Linked DNA regions of Nothobranchius furzeri. The protein of the gene in region 1 binds, or shares a complex with, the protein of each later gene. Links are inferred from orthologs where the notes say so. Each region holds a gene or a part of one and is shown on either strand. Other genes may lie near its edges. The genes, in order: sin3b and phf12b.

Evidence for each region.
Region 2: the proteins of sin3b (region 1) and phf12b are in contact, whole or in part, in a cryo-EM structure (PDB 8BPA), measured with the Homo sapiens proteins. The link is inferred for Nothobranchius furzeri from reciprocal best matches to the Homo sapiens genes SIN3B and PHF12. Residues at the interface, in NP_056075.1 of Homo sapiens: Glu307, Phe311, Leu318, Glu322, Val323, Tyr324, Glu325, Asn326, Leu328, Arg329, Cys330, Ile331, Leu333, Phe334, Asn335, Glu343, Leu347, Pro350, Phe351, Lys354, Phe365, Lys395, Arg396, Glu490, Glu493, Leu494, Val497, Tyr545, Arg546, Ile547; in NP_001028733.1 of Homo sapiens: Leu20, Met21, Gln23, Ile24, Gln25, Leu27, Leu28, Pro30, Pro31, Lys32, Thr33, Asn264, Leu266, Val267, Leu269, Val271, Val273, Phe275, Thr276, Asn278, Arg279, Ser280, Arg282, Cys292, Pro293, Leu294, Pro316, Asn317, His318, Ile319.

The regions. Positions count from the first base shown.
Region 1 is NC_091748.1:57,489,735-57,493,552, forward strand, and holds part of sin3b (paired amphipathic helix protein Sin3b), read right to left. Parts: intron 1,085-3,818; coding exon 208-1,084; intron 1-207.
Region 2 is NC_091753.1:61,665,164-61,669,628, reverse strand, and holds the start of phf12b (PHD finger protein 12), read left to right. Parts: upstream 1-1,384; 5' UTR 1,385-2,029; coding exon 2,030-2,095; intron 2,096-2,400; coding exon 2,401-2,582; intron 2,583-4,021; exon of another isoform or gene 4,022-4,032; coding exon of another isoform or gene 4,033-4,046; coding exon 4,047-4,119; intron 4,120-4,465.

The DNA.
Region 1 (3,818 bases):
AATTACTGCGCATAGTTAACCCATTTGAATTAAAAGTATGTAAAAGTTCTCTCACTGTGACATTTGGTTAGTGTTAGGGTTATGCATGTGTGCTGTAATCTCTAAACTTTTCCTACAAGATTTTAAACACCTCAATACTTATTTTTCAGTTTCAGTTGGAATTGTTCCTCTACTATGTTTTGCATTGCTAAGGCAGCTGAAACTTACTGGGCTGCTTGAGGCGAAGCTCCATGGCCAGGTCACACGCCTTCTCCCTCCTTCCTTCTGCCATCAGCAGCCTCTCTCTGCTCTGCTCTGCTCGGTGCTCCAGCAGCTGCTGCTCAGCTTGTCGGTAAACGCGCAGCAATCGTGAACAAAGAGTTTGGTGCAACCGCAAAAAGAAATACCAGTTGTTGTTGACAAAAAAAAGGTTGTAGACTCCATCCAGCTCCTTTTGGTGTTCTGCTTCAGGGTCACGGAGGTCCACTTTCTCCCCAGCCACACCGGAGCCAGTCTCCATGGGTAAAGAGCCTGGTGTGGGTGCGGTAGTCCCTGCAGGCTGGCTCATGTCACCAGGGATGGCAGAGGGTTCGGTTTCTCCAGGCTGTGATGGGCTGCAGCGTCGTCTTCTGGGCTCACCATTGAGTTGCTGCTGTAGTTGTTGCTGCTGCAATGGGTGGGTCAGGGCCACCTGTGGTTGAGTTTGACTTCCTGTGGCCACTACTCCTCCAGATGAATTGTCTGAATTACCATTTCCTCCTGCTGCTGCTCCTACAGCTACAGATGGTGCAGCTCCTCCTCTTTCACCTCCTTCCTCCAGCTCAGCCTCCTCATCTGTCCATTCTTCTGTGTCACTGAGCTCACCGCGGCGAGCGAAGAACAGATCCGGAACAAAGTGTTGAATGATACGCTTGATGTGGTCTTTGTCATCCTTATGGATGGTAGGCTGACGTTTGACATGGTAGATGATGAGGGAGGCAGCGTCTTCAAGGATCTGCTTGTCTTCATATGTAAACATCATGTGAGGTTCACTGGATGAGGTAGAGCCAGAGCTGTTACGACCTTGATGGCCAACACCACCTTCTTCTGTGCTCTGCTCCTGACGCTGAAATAACACAAACACATAGGATTTAAACTTAGAAGAAAATCTTGCTTCAGATGAAGTGATGTGCACCAAGAAAACAGCATGAAATGAGATGAATAAATGGTACAAACTCTTTCGGTAATGCAGAACCATCATTAATTTGAATCACACAACACTCATCTTAGAGCCTAGAAGCAACTGGCTGCCAAGAACGATCAATGCTCCGTTTCAGGGGTCGGCAACCTTTCTGACGATGAGAGCTATTTGAACTGTTGCATTAAGAAGAAATTTAATAATGCTGCGTATCAACAGTTTCATACCATATACTGTAAAATTTTACAGTTCGATCCACTATTGGGCTGGTAATAGAACTTCACTGAACTACATTTGTTGATAGATGTTGGCAAATAGCAGATCAGAAATTTTCAAAAACACCACCAATCAACCATAAGAAATGCAACAGGTATTTATGGACTCTTCACAACAATATGAAAAAATAAAACTAACCAACATAAGTTATTACAGGGACAAACATGTTATTGAGATTCCTACCCCAGTTTTGCATTTGCCAGTTCAGTTATCTGGGGATTACACTTATTAACTTTAAGAAGTACCCAGCTCTAAATGTCCAGCAGTCAGGCAGCTACGGGAGGCGCTGAGGACACTCTTCATCCAAGCCCATAAAAACATGTCTGAGGTTATAAGTCTCCATCTGTAAATGGCTTTCTGTGTTTAGTACAGTGTGCAATGTGAAAACTTGCTTCAGTTCTATGATGTTTAGCAGCCGTAAAAATTTGAGTACTTTCTTGCTTCTCAGCTCTTATACGGTACCTGCGATTGATTCAGCCTTCTCTCCTTTTTTTTGCTCCACAAAAACCAGTCTTCTGTCCAAATGGTCAAAAAAGATCAGGAATAATCTTTTTTTGCACACATAGATGCCATATTTTACAGGACTAACTAGCTAGCAACATCCTTCTCACTGTACCCAGTAGATGGAATGTTAGCTTAGATATTGTCAACAAGAAGCAGCATGAATGGTGTCTATGTGGGGCCCCCTTTCACCTTCAGAACTGCCTTAATTCTTTGTGGCGTTGATTCAACAAGGTGCTGAAAGCATTCTTTAGAAATATTGGTCCATATTAATAGGAAAGCATCTTGCAGTTGATGGAGATTTGTGGGATGCACATCCAGGGCACGAAGCTCCCGTTCCACCACATCCCAAAGATGCTCTATCGGGTTGAGATCTGGTGACTGTGGGGGCCGTTGTAGTACAGTGAACTCATTGTCATGTTCGAGAAACCAATTTGAAATTATTGGAGCTTTATGACATGGTGCATTATCCTGCTGGAAGTAGCCATCAGAGAATGGATACATGGTGGTCATGAAGGGATGAACATGGCCAGAAACAATGCTCAGGTAGCCCGTGGCATTTAAACCATGCCCAACTGGCTCTAAACTTGGTGTTTTGTTGGCACTAAACTGTGCCAATAACACACCCCCACACCATTTCACCACCACCAGCCTGCACAGTGGTAACAAGGCATGATGGATCCATGTTCTCATTCTGTCTATGCCAAATTCTGACTCTACCATTTGAATGTCTCAACAGAAATCGAGACTCATCAGACCAGGCAACATTTTTCTAGTCTTCAACTGTCCAATTTTGGTGAGCTTGTGCAAATTGTAGCCTCTTTCTCCTATTTGTAGTGGAGATGAGTGGTACCCGGTGGAGTCTTCTGCTGTTGTAGCCCATCCACCTCAAGGTTGTGCGTGATGTGGCTTCACAAATGCTTTGCTGCATTCCTCGGTTGTAACGAGTGGTTATTTCAGTCGAAGTTGTTCTTCTATCAGCTTGAATCAGTCGGTCCATTCTCCTCTGACCTCTAGCATCAACAAGGCACTTTCGCCCAGAGGACTACCACATACTGGATGTTTTTCCTTTTTCACACCATTCTTTGTAAACCCTAGAAATGGTTGTGCGTGAAAATCCCAGTAACTGAGCAGATTGTGAAATACTCAGACCGGCCCATCTGGCACCAACAACCATGCCACGCTCAAAATTGCTTAATCACCTTTCTTTCCCATTCTGACATTCAGTTTGGGGTTCAGGAGATTGTCTTGACCAGGACCACACCCCTAAATGCATTGAAGCAACTGCCATGTGATTGGTTGATTAGATAATGGCATTAAGGAGAAGTTGAACAGGTGTTCCTAATAATCCTTTAGGCGAGTGTGTAATACAAATATATGGTTTGAAGAATGACATAAAATAAAAGAGGGTTCTGTTTTTGTTTATTTATTTGTATGCATGTATATATATATATATATATATATATATATATATATACACTGGGTATATATATATACTAGGGCTGCAACAAACGATTATTTGGATAATCGATTAATCGGATGGGGTCTCGACACGATTAATCGATTAATCGGATTACATAGGGACATTTTTAAAAACTGCTAGGGAAACGTTATTTTTCTCCTTCCTTCACTTTATTAAACACAGCATTATTAGAAAACAGTTCAATAGCAGAAAAACAACATGCCATCACCTAAATTGTCTTATAAGGTGTATAGACAGAGACCCTAAGCTACACCTATCTGTGACCTAAAATGCTTGGTCCAAGTTAAACAGCTTAAAGAGCAAGTCAACCCCTACCAGAGACTAACTCCACTCCTGCTTTATGTTTGAAAAATGCAACACATGCTGTTGCCTGGCAGACCGAGAGGGCGGAGCCGCTAACAA
Region 2 (4,465 bases), on another chromosome or scaffold:
ACTGCTGGAGTTAGAAAGCCCCCTGCAACCCTGCTGATGAAAAGCAGTTAAGAAAGAGAGTGAGCAAGAGTTTTGTTATGAACCGCCTTTTTTATTGAATAATAAAACTCTTTCCTCAAAATAAAAAACATAGTGATAATGGATAGCCTGAACACTGAATGTAATCATTATGAACATATTTAAAGCTAATAAATCAAGTCGTTCTGGATAAAATCAACTAGGCCCAACCAGAAACTGTAGAAAGAGATCACAATCATTCCATCAGCAAAGCAACTAAAACATAACCCTATCCGGCTAAACGCTAAGGCGGTGGCTCCCTCTGCTGGTGAAGCAGAGAAACATCACCAGACCAAGGACGACCAGTTTCTGCATTGTCTGAGTTTCACCCAACAGTTTGCATAAAAATATACAAATTTTTAAATGTTGCATTTTTGGAGCTTTATATTGTCCTTCCTTTAGTTTAAAAAGTAAAATAAAAGTAAATTCATTCGTTTCGAATTAATTTTAGTTTGAAAACCGTCCCGATGTTTTCTAAATTAATAACCAACAATCTGCTTATTGTGTGGAAAAGTTCTGAATCTTTTCTTCAGCGATTCAATAAACAGTTTTAACAGAAACGGAAGTTACGGTAACATCGCGAATGAGTTACTTTCAAAATATAAGCAGCCCGTTCTGCTTCACATCGCACAGGAAACGTAACACAAACAAAACAAAGCTACTACATCAAGTTTTTCTTTGAAAACTTTCCTAAACCAAGCCTTTTCCAGAAAAGTTCAGCAACCTATTTCTGCTGATTCTGCCATTCCACTAAAAAAAGACAGTGAAGGTAACAGGTTCTTTCATGAGCTGACAAGAACTTTTAAAATGCCACTTTAGGTCACTTTCAATTATTTTTAATTATTCCAATTTCATTGTACTGAAGCAATTACACTTTCTCAGCAAGAAATTGACCACAATGTAGAATTGAAAAGTACTATATGTGTAATAAAAGTATTATATGTGAGCTAAACATAAACATGAAAACTGAGGTTCATGTTTATGGATCTAAATAATGTAACCCGGAAATTTTATTTTGAAGAAACTCAAAGGAACAATACCGTATTGCCGCGTGTTTGAGCGCACAACCAAAAGCAAAGGTTTTCCTGACCATTTTAAACATTCATTGATGAGTTTAAATAGCTGAAAGTATAATAGATGAAAATAAATTGAAGCTTCATTTCTTTACTTTTATTTTAACGCCTACACTTTCTCAAAGACCTTTTTTTGTGTGTTTTGAGGCTTGAATTTTTTTAACTGCTGCAAGAGCCTTTAATGGTCTACAACGGACTCACACTTCGTTACACTCATTACAATATTAGTATCGTTACAATGTTGTCCATTTCTTTCCTTTACCAGTGCGCATGCGCGTCTGGCGGTTCGCGGTTGCGCCAACTGGTAGGATGTTGCTAATAGCCCGTGTAGATGCACAGCCGTTCCCCACAACAATAACATCTAAATTTGCATCTTCACACCCTTGAATCGAGTATTACATTTTCTAAACGCGCTCGGAAGCTGTGTTTTGGACCGAGGCACGCCGAACTTCAAAGTGGATTGTTTGGTTCTTTATTCTGTGGACAATGGGAGCGGAGGGGTTTGCAGATCTACAGGGCTCCCTTTTGCAGGACCAGAAGCGAGAATCATGGCTTGCCAGCTAGGCCGCCGATGGATTTTGTCGCCATGAGCAAATATCCATTGATCATCAAATACTGGATGTATTTTCGGTGATTGCACATAAAAGTGGTGCTACCAGGCTCGCGTCTTTCTCTGACTTCTTCTGTTGATAAGACCGAGCCCGTTAGCTTCACAACCTTGACTGGCTGACGTCTTGCGCGTCGTAGTTAGCTTTTTAGCTAGCTAGTGATAGCTAACCATCTTGCCGCTGGCCACAATCTTTAGGAATTCAACATTTTTGCGGGATTAGCACTCACTGCCGTGTATCTCAAGGAGATCAAACTTCAAAGTCTTTCCTGCAGCGTTTGCTTCTGAATGAATGTGGGACAAAATGGAAACTCCGACGATTGTGTACGATCTGGATACCTCTGGGGGCTTAATGGAGGTGAGGTTGCTACGTTTGAAGGCCTCAGTGGAAAGATTGAGCTTTTCTAGCACTCTGGTTGTTTGATGTTGTTTTACTTAGGGTAGTTATGGCCATTATAGCGTTTTTACGAGCGACTTGGTCAGTAAAGTCTGGTTAGGGTTTGTGATGTGCTCTCAAGTTGGTGGTGTCTCTCGCTTAGTTCTATGACCGAAGACTTGGTTGTTTATTTTAATAAACAACCAAGTCTTCGGTCATAGAACCTGCATTTTTTTACGTTTTTAAATTTCCTGTGTAAATGTAACCGCCCTGGTTTCATTTTACAGCAAATCCAAACTCTACTCGCGCCTCCAAAGTCCGAAGACGTGGACAAGAGGAGTCGAAAGTTGGTGAGAGACGTCCGGAGGAGCGGCAGAGCCACCAACCACGACACCTGCGACAGCTGCCGGGAGGGGGGAGACCTGCTCTGCTGTGACCACTGTCCCGCAGCTTTCCACCTACAGTGCTGGTGAGTGCTGGCTAGCAGCAGCAGCTCCGCGCGCTGTGGTGCTGCTTTAGCTAGGCGGTGAATGCTAACCATGGTGGGGCTGTAGATGCTAACCATGGTGGGGCTGTAGATGCTAACCATGGTGGGGCTGTAGATGCTAACCATGGTGGGGCTGTAGATGCTAACCATGGTGGGGCTGTAGATGCTAACCATGGTGGGGCTGTAGATGTTAACCATGGTGTGGCTGTAGATGTTAACCATGGTGGGGCTGTAGATGCTAACCATGGTGGGGCTGTAGATGCTAACCATGGTGGGGGGCTGTAGATGCTAACCATGGTGGGGCTGTAGATGCTAACCATGGTGGGGCTGTAGATGCTAACCATGGTGGGGGGCTGTAGATGCTAACCATGGTGGGGCTGTAGATGCTAACCATGGTGGGGCTGTAGATGCTAACCATGGTGGGGCTGTAGATGCTAACCATGGTGGGGCTGTAGATGCTAACCATGGTGGGGCTGTAGATGCTAACCATGGTGGGGCTGTAGAAGTCAGTTCTGCTCTGAATTACAGGAATTCCGTTATGACCCAACGGCTCTGGGACTACCAGCTGCCTGTTGGTGTTGAGCACATAATCTCTCTGTGAACGAATAAAGTTCCCTCTGCATTATCGCACACACCGGGGGATGTTGTCACGCCTATTACCTAGCTTGTTATAACCAGACGGTTGATCGTAACTTCGATGATTGCTCCAGAGGTGTGTTATTAAGGTTTGCTCTCTGCGGTTTAAACGAGGCAGAGTTGACTTGCAGTCGGTCCTCCTCTCCTGCTGCTGCTGCTGCTAAAAATGGAGTCGAGGCTGCCTCTGTTTACAATATGGCGACTTCTCTGCTCTCTTCAGCGCCATCTTACCAACCTTTACATTTCGGTGCCGAGGGGCGAAAGGTTTGCGAATAGCATTAAACCGGCGGTGTGGTTTTGTGAGTGTGTAGCGGTTGTTGTTGTTGTTGTTGATCGCTGTGACACTTCCGGTGGCGCATCAGGAACTTCTGCTTAATCACATCTGGTTGAGGAGTTGCGTTTTGGCTGTCACCTGGAAGCGATTTGACTATATTTGGTCATGGCGGTCAGTGGCAGGCTGATCTGGGACGTGACAGGTTGTGCTGAACTGTTAAACCAGCTGTGAACACGGGAATTTCCCAGCTATGCGTGATAACCCCGCACGGTAACGTGTCCCACCGCTGATGCGTTTCAGATGCCTCTGATTATTATAGAGCAGTTCCTAGATCAGCTGCTTTCATGTGGAGGAACTAGTTTTATACATATTCTACTGTAATGGCATGATCCGTCCACCAGGGGGAGTCATTGCTGGGAAAAGGCCTCCGAGTGCATTTTCAAATAGATTTGGTTTGATATTCAGTTTAAATCACGTGACTGAATGGACAGTTATCATTTCCTCCTTCAAGCCTGATGGTTTATGCTTGTTTATAGTAACCCACCTCTGAGTGAAGAGATGCTCCCGCCAGGTGAATGGATGTGTCATCGCTGTAACGTTAGAAAAAAGGTGAGTTGCAGGTGCGCCTGCACGATTCTTTTTTATTAGGTTAAGTTGTGATCCATCTTTGAGATGTTCGGGTCTTGAAATATTAGCACATGAAATTTACATTCATTTAATTTATCTTGAGGTGTTTTTCAGTTAAAACTTCAGCTATTTGAAGAACTTTAAACACTTTGTCATTAGGCTTCCCATCCCGTACCAGTCTGCTTTAAAAAGGAACTTTGTTAGATTAATAGTTGAATGGATCAGAACGTCCTACCGTGTGTGTGTGTGTGTATTCTACAGCATATATTATCTCTGCTCATTATAAACCTTCCAAGAGTCTTTCTTCTGAGTCAGTGCCGTTTGCTGC